Linked DNA regions of Oryctolagus cuniculus. The protein of the gene in region 2 interacts with the protein of the main gene of each other region in a biochemical or structural test. Links are inferred from orthologs where the notes say so. Each region holds a gene or a part of one and is shown on either strand. Other genes may lie near its edges.

Region 1 (4,240 bases), on a different chromosome or scaffold from region 2:
AACAGTGCAAGCATGAAAACACGAGCAGCGCATGATAACGACAGATTCCTGACTGACTCTGGAATGCACGCACGCTTGCGTCCTGCTTTTAAATGATCTGAATGAAGCTCTTCAAAACACAGGGGACCCGTTTTTCTAATTTCATTAACTCACAGCAATGAAACAAAACTGGAGCACGGCATGCCTGCTCTGCCCCCCTGGGCGGCTTGTCCCTAAGCACCTAAGAAGGACGGCGGCGCTCAGCGGGGCCTCTTCCGAGCTCTGTGCACGACAGGGAGCAGTCACTGCGCCACCCCGAGGCCACGTCACCCGTGTGCTTCATCCAACGCTGCCTTTTCCCAAGTCCAGGCGGCCCTCGGCGGAGCCCAGTGATCATCTGTCCAGCACAGCGTTGAATTTCTTCTGCAGCAAACGGTGAGCAGGAGGCCAGGCCCTTGGGCATCGTCTTTACTCTCCACGGCGCTCGGTCACGATCACGCCCTCCTCCCGGCTCTGTGACACACATCCAGACGGCTGGGTCGCGGGACTCGGGTCCTCAGAGACCCGAGCTGACCACTCGGTGCCGCTTCAGGCCTGTCCCGGTGCTGTCACTGAGAGCATGGCACGTCCATCAGACGCGATCGTCTCTCAAGATCTTTTTTGCAAATAACAAAGGCATGACTCAGATTTCTCCTTGAACAGCCCTAAAAATGAATGCCACTTTCTCTTCAGGCCCTACACAACTCTAAAACAAACATGAACGCACCCTAAGATCAATCAAAACCACAGAATTCAAACCCCGCCCTTCATGTGCCCCGAGGGGCGAGCCCGCAGACAGCACTTACGTCGGAATCTGGGATGCAGGGCTCCCGGAAGTCCCTCCACAGTCTCCTAGGGATGACCTTTATGGGGATGTCGTGCGTCACGATGCGACTGCTGCTTGACACGGATATCTGGAAAGACAAGAATTAAAAATGGTTCTGCTATCCGTGCTAAAAAGCCAAGTTACTGAGGACCAAAAAGTTGAACTATCTGAGGGAAGCCGAATGCTGTCAGTACATTCTCTCAAAACCCACTCAGCCAGGCCGAGGGAGCACCGTTCTGCCGGCACCTGGGAAGCGGGCCCTGATGTTCCGGCAGAACCGGGACACAAAAAAACGGCAAGACGGCACGAGGTGCTCGATACAGCCTGGAAGGAAACGCAGGAGCGAGACTAGGCAGAGCCCGAGGGAGGCTGCTCAGACTGGGAGGTCACCCGCAGATGCTGCCAAGGCCAGCAGAGGCAGCCGGGCTGGCGGCACCGGGCGAGGGGCCGCGCCCCAGACAGCACTCCAGAAAACAGCCCAGCAGAGCGCGGGGCAGACGCAACGCTGCCTGCCGCGGGGAAGCCACGGGGAAGCCGCTCAGCTCCCGCGGCTCATCCTCTGCTGGAAGCTTCAACCATCCAGATCTGTGGCGAGGGGCTCTGAGGGGCTCCAGCCAGGCCGTGAGTACCGGCCCGCTGCAGAGAGCTGAGGAGTCGTCTTCCACAGAGCTGGGGCTGAACACCATCGTCACCGCAGGTTGTAGAGTGAGACACGCAGAGAAGACGCGGGGACGGGGCGGGGGAGGCGGCCGCCATGCCCAAGAAGGACTCAGCCCGTGAGTCAGCGAGTCGGCGAGCTGCAGCACTGGGCCGCGGTGGTGTCTGACTGGGCCCTGAAGGCCTTGTGAGGAAACGGGAGCCACCGAGGGGCCCTGCGTGGGCTGACTCGCGGCAGCAAAATGAGAGGAAGCCACTGCCCGCAGACGGCCTGGGAGAGCACGGCTAAGGGGAAGACGGACAGAAACGGCTGTCTTTGATTCAATTTCTATTTATTTGGAAGGCAGAGCAGCGGAGACAGAGACGTCCCGTGTGCCAGTTCCCTCTCCAAATGCCCCGGACAGCCGGGACTGGGCAGGCAGAAGCCGGGAGCTGGGGGCTGGGTGGCAGGGGCCCAGGGCGGGGCCAGCCGTCACCTGCCTCCCCAGGGGTGCACCAGCAGGGCGCAGGAGGCCGAGCTGGCACTCGCACCGGCACTGGCATCCCCAGCACCAGCGCGGCCACCACTCCCAGACTCACGGGGGCCGGGGCGGCGCGGGTTCCACCGGCTGCCAAGGGCGGGGGCTGCCTGGACTCCGTGCGACTGGAAATGAGCCCCCCGCGGGCCGCCCGCCGCTCACCAGCTCCACCGAGACGGTGAGGCACGGGAAGTGCCTGTTGGTGAGCTTGACCTTCAGGGCCCGGGCGTTCTGCGCCGTCTTCAGGGCCCGGGCGAGGTTTTCGGACGTCAGCTCCAGGTAGATCTCGTTGTTGTCCGCGGAGACGCCCTCCATCTGAAACTCGCTGAAGAAGTCCTCCTGCTGCAGCTCGCACCACAGGCTCGCGCCGCCGCCCGCCAGCTTGTCCGACAGGATGAAGTTGAGCTTGTCCGGGCTGATGCGCAGCGCGCACGTCTTGGCCAGCTTGGCTACCATGTTGCTGACGCCTGCGGCGGGAAGCGGGCACGGAGACAGAGTCGCGCGGCGCGCCGGCCCCGGCCCTCAGCGCCCCGGCCCGCTTCCCGCTTCCCGCGCCGGCCCGCCGCGGGGGACGAGCTCCGGAGACGCCCCGGGCGCCCGCCTCGCCCCGAGCGCGCCCTGCCCGCCCCGGCCCGCGCCCCGCTCACGGGTGAAGTGGTTCAGGCAGCCCGCGTCCACGATCTTGGCCCGGAACTTCATGTCGGCGCCGGGGAGCGCGGTCGGCGGCGGACACGCGTCCCGCCTCGAGCGGCCCGGCCCGGAAACGCGGCTGCGCAGAGTGGTTCCGCCGGCTCCCGCCTGAGGCCTTGCCGGGGCGTCCTGAGCCCGCCCCCAGGGAGGAGGGGCCTGGCCACGCCCAGGGAGAGGCGGGGCGTCCTGAGCCCGCCCCCAGGGAGGAGGGGCCTGGCCACGCCCAGGGAGAGGCGGGGCCTCCTGAGCCCGCCCCGGGGGAAGAGGGACCTGGCCACGCCCGGGGAGAGGCGGGGCCTCCTGATGCCGCTCCGGGGAAGGCGGGGCCTCTTGATGCCGCCCCGGGGAGGCGGGGCCCCTGACCAAGCCCCCAGGGAGGAGGGACCTGGCCACGCCCCGAGGAGGCGGGGTCTCCTGAGCCCGCTCCGGGGAAGGCGGGGCCTCCTGAGCCCGCCCCGGGGGAGGAGGGACCTAGCCACGCCCAGGGAGAGGCAGGGCCTCCTGATGCCGCTCCGGGGAGGCGGGGCTTCCTGAGCCCGCCCCGGGGGAGGAGGGACCTAGCCACGCCCAGGGAGAGGCGGGGCCTCCTGATGCCGCTCCGGGGAAGGCGAGGCCTCTTGATGCCGCCCCGGGGAGGCGGGGCCCCTGACCACGCCCCGAGGGAGGAGGGACCTGGCCACGCCCCTAGAGGGGTGGGCCCTAGTCGGGCCCCGGATGGGGACTGCCGCGTGCGGGGCAGGGGTGGGGGGTCTGCCCCCAGGACGTCGTGACGCGGGTGTCCGGATCTTGAGAATATCCAGATGAAACTAAGCCCTCGTAAAGCATTAGAGGAAGTACCGCCCCAGAGCGGCGGCCCCGAACCTCGGGCTGGGAGCGGCGTGGTGACTGGGACCCGGGGTGCCGGGGGCCGGGGTCCTGCCGCTCCCCGCCCCCGTCAGGCCGGTAACCTCTCCGTCTGGGGGAGGTCAGGCCGATTCCTTCTCCGTCATCACCCCTCCCACCCCCGTCAAGGGATTCCTTCCTCATCACCACCCCCCAGTCAGGGCGATTACCGCCCCCCCCTCCCCCGTCATGGTGATCCCACCCCTCCCGCAGACCGCTTGCCTCTCCAGCTCAGTGATCCCCCCTCCCCCATCAGGGCGATCCCCCCAGTCAGGGAGATAGGGTGACTCCCCCCTTCAGATAGGGGACTCCCCCAGTTTCCCCCCACAAAAGGCCGATCCCCCCCATCAGGGTGCTTCCCCTCATCAGACCTGTTCCCACCCCCCCCACAATCAGGCCGGTCCCCCACCATCAGGGCACTTCCCCCCCATCAGGCCAGTCCCCCCATCAGGCCACTTCCCCCCTATCAGGCTGGCTCCCCCCCATCAGGCCCGTCTCTCCCCCACACCAGACTGGTTCCCCCCATCACAGCACTTCTCCCCCATCAGGCCGCTTCCCCCCTATCAATCTGACTGCCCCCCATCAGGCCTACCCCCTCCCATCAGGCCAGTCTCCCCCATCAGGCCGCCCCTCATTAGGCCAGTTCCCA
Region 2 (4,149 bases):
ATGCTCAGTGAATGGGGCTTAAATGAGATGCTACTTGCATAACCCACGTGACACTTTGTTGACTGGGCAAGCCTGCATTAGCTCCAACAGTATTCAAAAAGGTCCACGTTTATGTATACACCGTTATTATAAGAAACCATTTTCCTACCCTTATTTAATATTTACAGATTTAACATTTACAGGTTTCTTGGGTGGAAACACTCAAAGCACAAGCTGATCTAAGTGCCCCCTCTGTGTGTGCCACTCATCCCTGATCCCACTGCATTCACTAAGGCAGGCCCTGAGCCCCTGTTCATCTTGCTCTGTCAGCACACGAGCCAAGAGGAGGGGTGACAGAAGGCCACTCCGAGGCCCCGGGCTTTGCTTTGACTACCCCTGTCCATCAGTTGACACTGAGCCTCAGAGTTGATACTCAAAGATGTGGATGAATTAGTTTGAATGCAGTGATTCAAGGACTGATGAGTAGTGGTGAAAACATAATTAAGAAAGATTTTTGTGGGTGGGTAATATTGTTACACTACTGACAGGAGCAGGGTTCTCTAAAAACTTTATGCAACTGTTTATTTATACACATGTTAAACAGGTTCAAGGTATTTTAAAGTTAATATAAGAAAACACATGAGCAGTTCATGACACTGAACTCAACTGTTTATGGTCAAGTTTCTTAAGAGGCAAATCGGGAATTAAATTCCCCTATGACCCTGGGCTCTAGTTACATCTAGTTTCTGCTGGTGTTATGTCCATTTTATTCTACAGAAACACTCCCTGGTGTGCCAGAAAAGTGACATTCACAGCCCTGTTAGGACTGCTGGTGTGGGAGCAGCTGTCCGGGAATGCAGTCAGTTCTTCACAAGGAACTGGCTTCTGCTCAGCTTCCCTCTCTCCCTGAGGTATGCAAGCAAGTGCTGTCGCCTCCTCCACGTGACCTTCACCCCGTACTTCTCCTCAGGGGTGTCTTCAGCCAACACAGGCCCAGGCTCTGGGCTGCTGGGAGTGCCGAGGTGAAGGGGACAGCTTCGCAGGCCGTTCTCCTTCTGGTCTGGGGGAATGGCTTCTCCCCTCACCAAAGAGGGCTCTGGGGTCTGGATGTCAGGAGGAATGAACACGTGAGGCAGGCTCTCAGGGGAACTCACAGATGGGTCCCCACAGCTCTGGGGACTGAGCACTGGAACCAAGGGCCTCCTGGAAACGTCCTTTTCTGATTGATGGGGACACTCCTTCACTGAGGGCATCCCCAGTGTCTCTGAACTGGAAGAAGTGGGTGGACTCTCAAAAGTGAGATGTGGAAACTTGGATGTGGTGGATTTCCGACTTGAATGTCTTCTCTGGTTGCGGGGACGTTTCCGGCACACTGGGAAGCAGCTTTCTGCTGTTATATCAAACTGAGGTGTTACCTAAGGATTTAAAAATAATCGGGTGAGACAAGCCAACCGCCAAGGACTAGCCTGAGACAGGAAACTACTCCCAACGACCAGAATCCTAAATGGGGGTCCACTTCAGTAATGGATGCAAAACAGAAACAAGTGTCTAGTGGCGTAATAGAAGGATATGGGCTTTGGGCAAGTCTTTCAGTCTCTCTGACCTTCAGCTTCCTCACATGTGGGAACGGGGACAATGCCTCTTTTATTTTTATTTTTATTTTTTTGACAGGCAGAGTTAGACGGTGAAAGAGAGAGAGAGAGAGAAAGGTCTTCCTTCCGTTGGTTCTCCCCTCAAATGGCCGCTGCGGCCAGCACGCTGTGCTGATCCGAAGCCAGGAGCCAGGTGCTTCCTCCTGGTCTCCCATGCGGGTGCAGGGCCCAAGCACTTGGGCCATCCGTCACTGCTTTCCCAGGCCACAGCAGAGAGCTGGACTGGAAGAGGAACAATCGGGACAGAACCAGCACCCCAACCGGGACTAGAACCCAGGATGCCGGCGCCACAGGCAGAGGATTAGCCTGGTGAGCCATGGCACTGGCCCGACAATGCCTCTTTCATCGTGCCACAAGGCTGCAACTGCTCCATACACTTCGTGAGGGTAGGGGCCAGTAGTCCTGCTCATCCTTGATCCCCCACCCCTCGCAGCGTGCCTGGCTCAAGGACTGGCCTCAGTAAAGAGTGAATGGCTGACTGCAACAATGGGGAGGGAGGTCAGACACGGACAGCAGCCAGCACAGGACCTGGCAGATGGTATCCAATAAATGCTCATTCCTCGTCTCACCCACAGGACTCTAACGTTTGAAGTTTTCCTCCAGAATCCTGACTTATGGTTTTTCTCCGCCATCCTGAACAAGTTGTATTTATTAAATGCTCTTAGGCAAGGCTTCTGCTTTACTGTAGAACTTCCCTGTCATATAGTTGATATTGTCTTCCAGGCCTGTCTTTTTTTTTTTTTTTTTTGGGCGGGGGGGGGGGGGGGAGACAGAGCCAGACAGACCATCTGTTGGTTCACTCCCCATAAGCCTGCAATAGCCAGGAACCAGGAACTCAATCTAGGTCTAGGGACCTGACTCTTTTTTTTTTTTTTTTTTAAGATTATTTATTTATTTGAAAGTTAGAGTTACATAGAGAGAGAAGGAGCGGCAGAGAGAGAGAGAGAGAGAGAGAGAGGTCTTCCATCCACTGGTTCAATTAGCCATAATGGCCGGAGCTGCACCAATCCGAAGCCAGGAGCCAGGAGCTTCTTCCGAGTCTCCCACATGGATTCAGGAGCCCAAGGACTTAGGCCATCCTATGCTGCTTTCCCAGGCTATAGCAGAGAGCTAGATCGGAAGTGGAGCAGCCAGGACTTGAACTGGTGCCCATACGGGATGCCAGCACTGCAGGTGGCAACCTTACCCACTACGCCACAGTGCAGGCCCTGAGACCTGACTCTTTAAGCCATCAGCTGCTGCCTCCTAGGGTGTGCATTAGCAGGAAGCTGGAATTGGAAGCAGAGCTGGGACTTGAACCCAGGCACTCTGATATGGGATATGGCTATGTCTTAACTTAATATTTTAACTCTTAAGCCAAATGCCTGCCCCTTCCCAGGGCTTTTTTTTTTTTTTTTTTTTTTTTTTTGACAGGCAGAGTGGACAGTGAGAGAGAGAGACAGAGAGAAAGGTCTTCCTTTGCCATTGGTTCACCTTCCAATGGCCGCTGCGGCCGGTGCGCTGCAGCCAGCGCATCGTGCTGATCTGAAGCTGGGAGCCAGGTGCCTCCCCCGGTCTCCCACGGGGTGCAGGGCCCAAGCACTTGGGCCATCCTCCACTGCACTCCCTGGCCACAGCAGAGAGCTGGCCTGGAAGAGGGGCAACCGGGACAGAATCTGGTGCCCTGACCAGGACTAGAACCCAGTGTGCCAGGCGCCGCAGGCGGAGGATTAGCCTATTGAGTCGCGGCGCCGGCCCAGGGCTTTTAAACTGTCAAAATATGACATATGCCATTTCTGTGGGTTGTATTTCAAGGTTCAAAAAATCTAGTACCTAGTTAAATATACCACTTTCACATGATGTGCAGGGCACAATCTCATTTTTACTCATTCTGCCACTTGTTTAGCTTTTCTCACCCAGTTACTAGGTGGTGAATTTTTTTTTTTTTAAGATATTTACTTATTTGAAAGTCAGAGTTACAGAGAGAGGGAGAGGTCTTCCATCCAATGGTTTACTCCCCAGTGGCTGCAACAGCTGGAGCTGCACCAATCAGAAGCCAGGAGCTAGGAGCTTCCGGGTCTCCCATGCGGGTACAGGGGCCCAAGAACTTGGGTCATCTTCTACTGATTTCCCAGGCCACAGCAGAGAGCTGGATCAGAAGTGGAGCAGCCAGGTCTCAAATTGGCGCCCATATAGGATGTCAGCACTGCAGGCCAGGGCTTTAACCCGCTGCGCTACAGTTCCGCCTCCTGGGTGATGAATTTTTTTTTTTATTTTATTTATTTTTTTTTTTTTTGACAGGCAGAGTTAGACAGTGAGAGAGAGAGAGACAGAGAGAAAGGTCTTCCTTTCCGTTGGTTCACCCCCCAAATGGCTGCTACAGCTGGCTGCAGCACACCGGCACACTGCGCCAATCCGAAGCCAGGAGCCAGGTGCTTCCTTTTGGTCTCCCACGCGGGTGCAGGGGCCCAAGCACTTGGGCCATCCTCCACTGCCTTCCTGGGCCACAGCAGAGAGCTGGACTGGAAGAGGAGCAACC
Region 3 (3,567 bases), on a different chromosome or scaffold from region 2:
TCCAATCCAACACCAATGGCCAGGGAAAAGCAGTGGAAGGTGGTCCAACTGCTTGGGCTCCTGCCATCCATGTGGGAGACCTGGATGAAGCTCCTGGCTCCTGCCTGGCCCAGTGCTGGCAGTTGTGGCCATCTGGGGAGTAAACCAGCTGATGGAAGATCTCTCTCTTTCTGTCTTGCCCTCTCTATGTAACTCTAAATTCCAAAAAATAAATAAAACTTAAAAAAAAATGAGTACTGGTAAAAAATATTCTGCAAAAGAGATACAAAGATTATAGAATGCCAAAAGTTTAAAGAATTCATATTTGGAGTAATTTTTTTTATTTTACTGCCTCATGTTCTGCAAGGTGTATCTTCAATTTAAACTTCTAGTCAATTTGCTGCAACACAGATGGAACTAGAGGACATTATGCTAAGTAAAATAAGCCAGGACAGAAAGACAAGCATTGCTTGTTCTCATGTAATGTAGATGCTAAAGACACTGATTTTTTTTTTTTTTTTTTTTTTTTTTTTTTTGACAGGCAGAGTGGACAGTGAGAGAGAGAGACAGAGAGAAAGGTCTTCCTTTGCCATTCGTTCACCCTCCAATGGCTGCCGCGGCCAGCGCACTGCGCTGATCTGATGGCAGGAGCCAGGTACTTATCCTGGTCTCCCATGGGGTACAGGGCCCAAGCACTTGGGCCATCCTCCCTGCCTTCCCGGGCCACAGCAGAGAGCTGGACTGGAAGAGGGGCAACCGGGACAGAATCCGGCGCCCCGACCGGGACTAGAACCCGGGGTGCCGGTGCCACAGGCAGAGGATTAGCCTAGTGAGCCGCGGCGCCGGCCCAGACACTGATTTTCTAACAAGAGAGCAGAACAGAGGTCAGTGGAGGCTGTGAAGGGCAGGGAGTGAGGGAGAACAGACAGGCATCAGAATGCAGATAGAGGAAGAGTAGTGCTAGTCTACAGCAGTGGGGTGACTGCAACAATTTTGAAGGATCCCAACACAAAGAATCAATGTCTAAGAAGACGGAAATGTTAGCTACCTTGATTTGATTATATATTGTACATGTACCAAATTCTCACATTGTAGCCCATAAACATGCACAGTAAAAAACAAAAAAACTTCTAGTTCATTCAGTCAGGTTGATTCACTCAATTAAAAATAAAGTCAGTTTTTTAGTCATTAAAAGAAGTGTCATTTGGCTTGACCTCTCAGTTTTCTTGTCATTCACCCAAACTTCTTTTAAGTACCTGACAACTGTAGAAGTGGTTTTTCTTTCTTTTTAACAAAATATCATAAGAGGTTTAAAACTTTTAGTTTTATTTGTATTTAATCAATGACCTGGAGAAACACTAAGATGGTTATATAATCTTTTCTCAAACTGTACCCAAACTATCTTTTCAAGATTTTAGGGAAAAAAATATTAAACTAGGTTAAGAATATGTCAGAAGCAATAGTTTTAAACGTTACATACTAGAGAAAAGCTTGCCATCTGTCCCTTTGTGAAACACAGTTTTACCTTTTGGTTCTTGAACAATGAGGTGTGTACATTCATTCATTTTCAATTGTCCCATGTACTGGCCTCCATGCTTAACCGTCAGTTGTTGAACTGTCTTCCTGTCTAAGCCACACAAGCCAGTCACACAGATTATGCAACCAAGAAAAATAGGACACTTGAATTCTTCCATGTTTATATCAGTATATCTAGCTATTTTACTGGGAAAAACAAATGGTAGAAAGAAATACAAATGATCATATGAAGTATGCCAGGTAATTTTAAATTTACAGAGTAATGACAATCAACAGAAATCCCACTACTGCTTTTCCTCAATTCAGTGTCCTGAACTGACACTCAGCTCAATACCAAGTCTCTAATATATTGTTTCAGATACAACCTCAAATAAAAACTGTTTCAAGGGAAAAAAATATGTATTTCATTAACATTAAGCCTTTGTTGGTCAAAGCAGTATATTTTCAACACTTGTATCAAACACATGGGCCAGGTTCACAAAATGCGCTCAATTAACATTTATTAAATGATCACATCTCAGCTGATAGCTTACATATGTTCATATTCAGTTTTACATATACCCTTTTTAAGGGGTATACATTGCCAAAATGGCTATTTATTTTCCATCTTAACATCCAGGAATGGTGTTTAAGGATAATGCAACATAAGAGCTACAGAGTTGCCAAATGGATTTTCTCAATTATTTTAGGAGCATTTAGTAGTAAAAACTAACTTTATTATCAAAAGATTTCTTACCTTGTACCTAATGCTAAACCCATACTCCATTCAACCTGTCAATTTACACTTGATAATAAGAGCTTATACATTTTGCTCTTCTGTTTTCATTCAATAAGCCCCAATTTTCTCTCTGAATAACTAATCCAAAGGGGATATAATAAAGCTCCCCTATGAAAACCCAGAGTATGCACCCTTTTTCCAATCTAGAAAAGATCTCTTACTTCTCTTGTGACTTCTCCCAAAGTGCTTCTATCCAAGAGGGAAGCAAAATAGGTTTCTTTAGGTTTGCAGCAACTAAGTATTTTTTGCTGCCAACTTCTCCTGCAATAAGATGAGTTACTGATATATTAAGGTCTCTGAATACTCGTCCGCCCATCATTTGTGCATATTTATGAACTTCATCCTGCAGCCCCAAAAAGAAAATAGTAAGATAAATATGAATTACTTTCCTGTATTTACGCAACTATTTGAGTTTATTAAACTATGTTGTTTCTGTAATAAAGATTATATTCATATACACTATACATATACAGAGTGAGTATAGAAGTGCTTCTGGTTTCAGATTTTGAAATATTTGCAGATACAAAATGAGACATCTTGGGGATGGGTGTTTCATATACACCTCATACATACAGCCTGAAGGTAATTTTAAACAATAATTTTAGTGCACCTGTGTTTTAACTGTGACTTGTTAAATGAGGTGAAGTGTGGAATTTTCTACTTGTGGTGTCTTGTCAGTAAAATTGGGGATTTTGGGGTATTTCAGATTTCAGATTACGGATGCTCAATTTTTTATAGTTTAAAAATATAAATATTTTTAAAATACAAATTATGTATCAATATATTTATACAGCTCTAAGAATTTTTTTAAGGCAATCCATCTAATGTGGGAAAATGTGATTTATTAACTGTGGAAGGAAAACAGTTTTGAAGGGAAACATAAAAACTCTTAATATGAATTCTACTATATACAATTTATTAAGAAAAAAGGTATACTATACTGTTGTATGTTGAACTCTTAAAAATATGAAAATTAAGTTTAAGGTCTTTCAAAGTATCTTCTACACTGAAAAGTTAAGTATGATAATAAACAGATCATGATATTCCTAACACCTACCCTTTTATCTTTTTCCAGGCTTGTACAAGATATAGTTACATCAGACATAACCATATTATAAACTGGATGTTCAGCCCTTGGGACACATCGCTGGTGTTGCATACAAAATATGACCACTTGAGGACCAACAATTCTGCAACCAAGCTACAAAAAAGAAAGTATTTTGGAAAATTAGCAAGGAAAAGACCACCAGTCTTACAAAATTACACTTTGTACT

What was found.
Region 1: the proteins of RHNO1 (region 2) and HUS1 form a complex in vitro, tested with the Homo sapiens proteins (2 studies listed by BioGRID). The link is inferred for Oryctolagus cuniculus from reciprocal best matches to the Homo sapiens genes RHNO1 and HUS1.
Region 3: the proteins of RHNO1 (region 2) and TOPBP1 form a complex in vitro, tested with the Homo sapiens proteins (2 studies listed by BioGRID). The link is inferred for Oryctolagus cuniculus from reciprocal best matches to the Homo sapiens genes RHNO1 and TOPBP1.

Annotation. Positions count from the first base shown.
Region 1 is NC_091447.1:53,481,193-53,485,432, forward strand, and holds the start of HUS1 (checkpoint protein HUS1), read right to left. Parts: upstream 2,853-4,240; 5' UTR 2,719-2,852; coding exon 2,667-2,718; intron 2,487-2,666; coding exon 2,182-2,486; intron 933-2,181; coding exon 825-932; intron 1-824. UniProt on the Homo sapiens protein: Component of the 9-1-1 cell-cycle checkpoint response complex that plays a major role in DNA repair. The 9-1-1 complex is recruited to DNA lesion upon damage by the RAD17-replication factor C (RFC) clamp loader complex.
Region 2 is NC_091440.1:106,435,208-106,439,356, forward strand, and holds the end of RHNO1 (RAD9, HUS1, RAD1-interacting nuclear orphan protein 1), read right to left. Parts: intron 1,395-4,149; coding exon 840-1,394; 3' UTR 536-839; downstream 1-535. UniProt on the Homo sapiens protein: Involved in microhomology-mediated end-joining (MMEJ) DNA repair by promoting recruitment of polymerase theta (POLQ) to DNA damage sites during mitosis.
Region 3 is NC_091435.1:175,324,545-175,328,111, forward strand, and holds part of TOPBP1 (DNA topoisomerase 2-binding protein 1), read right to left. Parts: intron 3,495-3,567; coding exon 3,351-3,494; intron 2,637-3,350; coding exon 2,455-2,636; intron 1,702-2,454; coding exon 1,505-1,701; intron 1-1,504. UniProt on the Homo sapiens protein: Scaffold protein that acts as a key protein-protein adapter in DNA replication and DNA repair. Composed of multiple BRCT domains, which specifically recognize and bind phosphorylated proteins, bringing proteins together into functional combinations.